2 linked regions of the Coturnix japonica genome follow. The protein of the gene in region 1 purifies or fractionates together with the protein of each later gene. This does not show direct contact. Links are inferred from orthologs where the notes say so. Each region holds a gene or a part of one and is shown on either strand. Other genes may lie near its edges.

Region 1 (2,316 bases):
AGGAACTGCACACAGCCCTGACACACAGACACTGGGCAGGCATCGCCTCAGCACCCTCAAGGCAGGGTTTCTTAAATGGGATCTATTCACTCACAGCAGCTCTTCCTGCTCACCTACCTTGGGTTGCCGCTTTGTGTCCTGCAGGAGAGTCATCGGGTCAGGATCGGGCACTGCATGAGCAACTATCGTGGGGCCAAAGACTTTGGCTAAGTTGGTAACGTCCATTTTGGTGTCAGGGCTCTGAGCCACTCTATTTTTAAAACAAAGAAACAAAGGAGTTTTCCCCTTTCTCTCACTTAATGCTGCTGGCCCAGGGCTTTTCACTCACAGGCAGCAACGAGAGACTATCAGAGAACACACCAATGGCAATATCCACCTTCCAGAACCATCACTCCATTTGAGCATACCTCTGCAGATGAACCATGAGAAAAGCCAGGGTGTCCCTATTAGCCCGAGGAAGTTCCCCAACTGCTTGGTACATAGCAGCTATGCTGTTGTCCTCATCTAAGATTTCTGAAGGGTAAGAAAAGAAAATTAAAGTATTATTGCAGTATTCCCCTCACAGTAAGAGCTGTAAAAAGTCCCTCTCCCTCCTGGTTATAAGCTCCCCTCATGTTCTGGAAAGAACTTGATTTTCAACAGGAATTTCTCTCCTCTTTTGCTGTGCTATTTTGGAAGAAGAGATCTCTCCAGCAGCCTGAGTATCCGCAGCAAAGCTGCAGTAGGAGCAGCGAGGTCTGCCAGCTCACGTGTGAGATAAGCCTGTCATTAAGCCTTTGGAAAATGTGGATGTCACTTTGTCTCCTTACCTGCAGCTTCCATAAAAGTCTTGTTTAAGCGGAAAGTGAGAAGGGGCTCTTTCAGGTTGCGTAGAAAGTCTTTCAGGAGACCACAGATGGCGTGGATATCATCCACGTTACTGAGCGAGGGAATATTTTTTGATCTGAGAAACTTCTCTTTCAGTTCTCTCACTGTCTTGTCGCAGCCAGATATCCGGTAAAGGCCCTTCTGTTGGCAGAAAGCATTGCTTAGAGGCAGAATACCAGCTACACACAAAGTCTACCTCCTTCTGCTCCCACTTTCTCTCCACACCTGAGCACTCTGCACAGCCACTGCTGCTCACAGCCTCCCACTGAGCAGTGCTGTACACACCATTAGCAAGGGACATTTAGACTACTTGCTTCCTTAACAACCCAACCCATTTCATCAGCACAGTCCTCGTTTTTACCTCATTCAGACCTCTCTGCTCGATCTCATTAACACAGTGCACTATGATGGAAGGGATCATTGGAGGAGCAGAAGGGACAAAGTCCATCAAAGTACCCTAAAAGGCAGAAAAGCAGCAGAAAAAAAGTATGTAAGTCTTCATGACACAGAAAACATTTTCTAAGGAATTCACAGCAAGATTTAAGCTCAAGAATAAGCCTTGTTTCTTCCTCACCAGCCTTGAGCAGCACTACACCCATCAGCACAGTGCTACAGGATCGCCCACACAGAGCTGCTTACATACACAACATAACACCATTGCAACAAGACATCCCTACCAACTTCAGCAAGTTGGTTTGTTTCTTATTATGCAGCTCTGAGCAATGGGAGCTCTTCTGCAGCAGGCAGACTTGTTGGAGCCTAAACACATTCCAGCTCTAACCAAGCATTAGCCTGTTTGGGTCAGCAGCCATACATTTCCCCCAGACTTACCTCCCCAATTTTGACAGGAGGGCCTGTCAAGGTGGGGATGCAGGGAAGAGGACAGCGATCTCGACACTCTGGATGACTGACCACGTGGCAATCTCTGCACTTCAGAGAGATTTTTCCAAATTTCACTCTTTTTCCACAAGGAACACATGACTCTGGTTTGATAACCTAATGATTCAGAGCGTACAGACAGAAAGAAATTAGCGCCTTGTAGTAACTCAGCTTAAATAGCATAACCAGGCAGATAACAGACACAGTGAATATTGATTCGGGATGTAATGGTTGGTAGTTTCTTATCAATAGCTTGCTATCACACACATTTAATGAAAGTAGATACTTTTCAAGTTGTTTTCCCCCTGCCCCCACACATACACACACAGAGGGTGGTGATGCACTGGAACAGGTTGCCCAAGGAGGCTGTGGATGCCCCCATCCCTGCAGGCATTCAAGGCCAGGCTGGATGTGGCTATGGGCAGCCTGGTCTGGTGGTTGGCAACCCTGCACATAGCATGAGGTTCAAAATATATGATCTTTGAGGTCCTTTTCAACCCAGGCCATTCTATGATTCTTCTTGCCTGCAAACCTACCGTCTTTGATACGAAGTCATGCAGCCTCACTCCC
Region 2 (2,666 bases), on another chromosome or scaffold:
GATGGGCTTGAATAGCAGCAAGGCCTGTGTGACACATACTCCTCAAACACTCATATTATTTCAGTAATCCGAGGAACTTCTATCTGCATCCATCTAAATTCAGACCTCTGGATGTTTCAAGTAGCCCAAGGGATTGCCACCAGGTCAGTCTCTACTACAGCTACCCAGGCAAGAACCTAACCTTGCCACAAGCCCAGACAGCATCAGAAGAGCTCCCAGATGCATACCATGTACATGTGTCATGAAGGAGCCATAGCCTGACGATGGCAGAGCTTAATTCACATGGAAACCTCTAGTGAGGGAGACACTACTGCTACACCAAATCAGAGAAGGATGAGGACAAACCCCAAAACAATGAAGATCCATTCCTACCATTCACTCCTGTTCTGACAGCTTTTAAGGAGGCAAAATGCACAGTACGCCTGAGATGATTTGACCGCCTAAGAGATTAAAACAAAAACTAGGTGAAACAATCAGAAATACCTAAAAGAGTTCCCACCTACTGCAGAAACTGCTTTTTACTCATCACCAGAAGGAAAAGAAACCAAAAGCAGAGGGGAACATACAGACACTTTTATTGCTCACCCTTTATACAACAGCAAACCTTCAGCCATTTTCTTTCACAGCTTGACAATGTTTATGTACACAAAAAACCCAGCAAGAAGCATTATGTGGCTTTCAGTAAAGGAAAAAAAACAACAAAACAAACCAAACCCAACACATTAGAACATCAAACTCAGCCAGGCTTTGTTTTCTGCAGCAATAATCAAAGGGCTTCCTCCAGGCAGGAACTAAACTTCCCAGGCCGTAGTGCATTTCTTTAAAAAAGACAACCCCCAAAACAAATTGCCCTGGATCTGCTGAGCCAGTGGTATTAACTTGCAAATAAAATAATTTCACTTTTTGTTTTTTCTTCTAGCTGATTTCAAGTAAAAAATTAAGTTTGAAGGAGGAGCAACTTGTTTTGGATGGATGCAGGTCAGTTTGAATTGCTACACCTAACTACAGGCCTATGTACACTACCAGTTCACAATTTAGCTTAGTTTTAAGTGATCTTTGCAGATTTTGGCGGCGGTAAGTCTTCAGACTTGAGAAGGTGGGAAAAAAATGGTTTGATGTAAGATAAGGCTACCAAATGTGACATCTACAGCAGAGCTCATATAATAGATAACAAACCTGTCTGTTAGAGGGAAGTTGCTCTGTGGGCCTGCATGTGTGTGTAACTTTGATTAAAACAGGACAGCAATCCAAAAGCAATATTCAGCACTGATTTTAGGTCATGTAACTGAACAATGGCTAGGGGATGCAGAAATTCCATTGTATATTGCAACATATAATTGTGACTAGACCAGTCTTCATTTTTCTCAAATCAAAGTGTCAAGCAAAACACAGCAGGTAGTTTTGGAATCAATGTACTTTGAGCAGATGTCAATACAACAACAAAAGAGCATGACTATTAATTTACGATTAGGTGGAGTGCAGTGAGTAGTTATGACACATTCAATTCAGACAGACTGGGGGGGAAGGAAAGTCTACAGAAAGCTGTACTTAGTTCAGCACATAACATCCCACCCCAAAAGATTCTGCCTGACACATACAAACCTGTACTAATTCAAAAGTGATTAAATCAGGACTCTGAAACAAGGTTTTATTATCTGAGCTCTGCTGAAGCAAAAGGTTTTAGCAGCCTCAACTTGTGAAATGTCTTCCTTGTCCAAAACCAGACTGATTATACTGATAGCCTCCATGCTGGAAATGTTGCTCAAATTGCCCACCTTGATTAAAATTCTGTCCACCTCTGCCTCCCCAGCCTCCTCCTTGACCGCCACGGCCACCCCGCCCACCACGGCCACCCCGCCCTCCTCCACGGCCACCCCCTCGGTCACTGTGGGACCCGCCATCTTGGTATCTGTTGTCTTGCTGGTAGCCACCACCTCCTTGGTAGCCACTTCCCGTGTATGAACATGACTGGTAGCCACCATAGCCTCCTCCTTGATAGCCACCGCCACCACCATGGTAGCCACCCGTCTGAAAACCTGCATCTCTGTAATTGCTATCCCTGTAGTTGCCATCCTGGTAGCCACCACCTCCACCATCTGTCCACCCTCCCTGGAGTTTGTTTCCTCTTCCACCTCCTCTGCCACCATGATCATAACCGCCACGTCCTCCTCGCCCTCCTCGATCATGGCCTCCTTGATCATGACCCCCTCGTTCATGACCTCCTCTTCCTCCTCGGTCATGACCACCGTGGCTATGACCTCCATGGTCATAACCTCCTCGCCCTCCATATGAGGATTCATAGCCACCTCTTCCTCCTCGGCCACCACCTTGTTGTGGACCAGCCTCTGGTCTTTTCTGCCAGGGTGGCATCTCAGGAGGTGGTGGTTCAATTTCATTGGGCCTTCCTCCTCTATCAGGTACTCTGCCCATTAGCACCTGTAAAGAGAAAGGAACAACTGTCTTAAGAGTTGTAAGATCTCACAGAAGCAGGGTACTTTGTTAATTTTTGTTAGTCTTGAAGGACACTCAGTACTGATAATGGAATTAAGTTAACAGAATACACATCAGCAGCAGGGCAGTGGGCAGTGCCATATTCCTAGTAAAGCGTATATATGATCTGATTATATTCACATCTGTCTTCCCACTTTCTTTTAAATTTCACGCTC

The links. The genes of interacting proteins can lie anywhere in the genome.
Region 2: the proteins of RACGAP1 (region 1) and FAM98A purify together in Homo sapiens (co-immunoprecipitation; 3 studies listed by BioGRID and IntAct, with this or other methods). This does not show direct contact. The link is inferred for Coturnix japonica from reciprocal best matches to the Homo sapiens genes RACGAP1 and FAM98A.

The regions. Positions count from the first base shown.
Region 1 is NC_029544.1:387,960-390,275, reverse strand, and holds part of RACGAP1 (rac GTPase-activating protein 1), read right to left. Parts: coding exon 2,283-2,316; intron 1,864-2,282; coding exon 1,699-1,863; intron 1,325-1,698; coding exon 1,229-1,324; intron 1,009-1,228; coding exon 810-1,008; intron 514-809; coding exon 408-513; intron 251-407; coding exon 118-250; intron 1-117.
Region 2 is NC_029518.1:27,930,534-27,933,199, reverse strand, and holds the end of FAM98A (protein FAM98A), read right to left. Parts: intron 2,437-2,666; coding exon 1,690-2,436; 3' UTR 552-1,689; downstream 1-551. UniProt on the Homo sapiens protein: Positively stimulates PRMT1-induced protein arginine methylation. Involved in skeletal homeostasis. Positively regulates lysosome peripheral distribution and ruffled border formation in osteoclasts.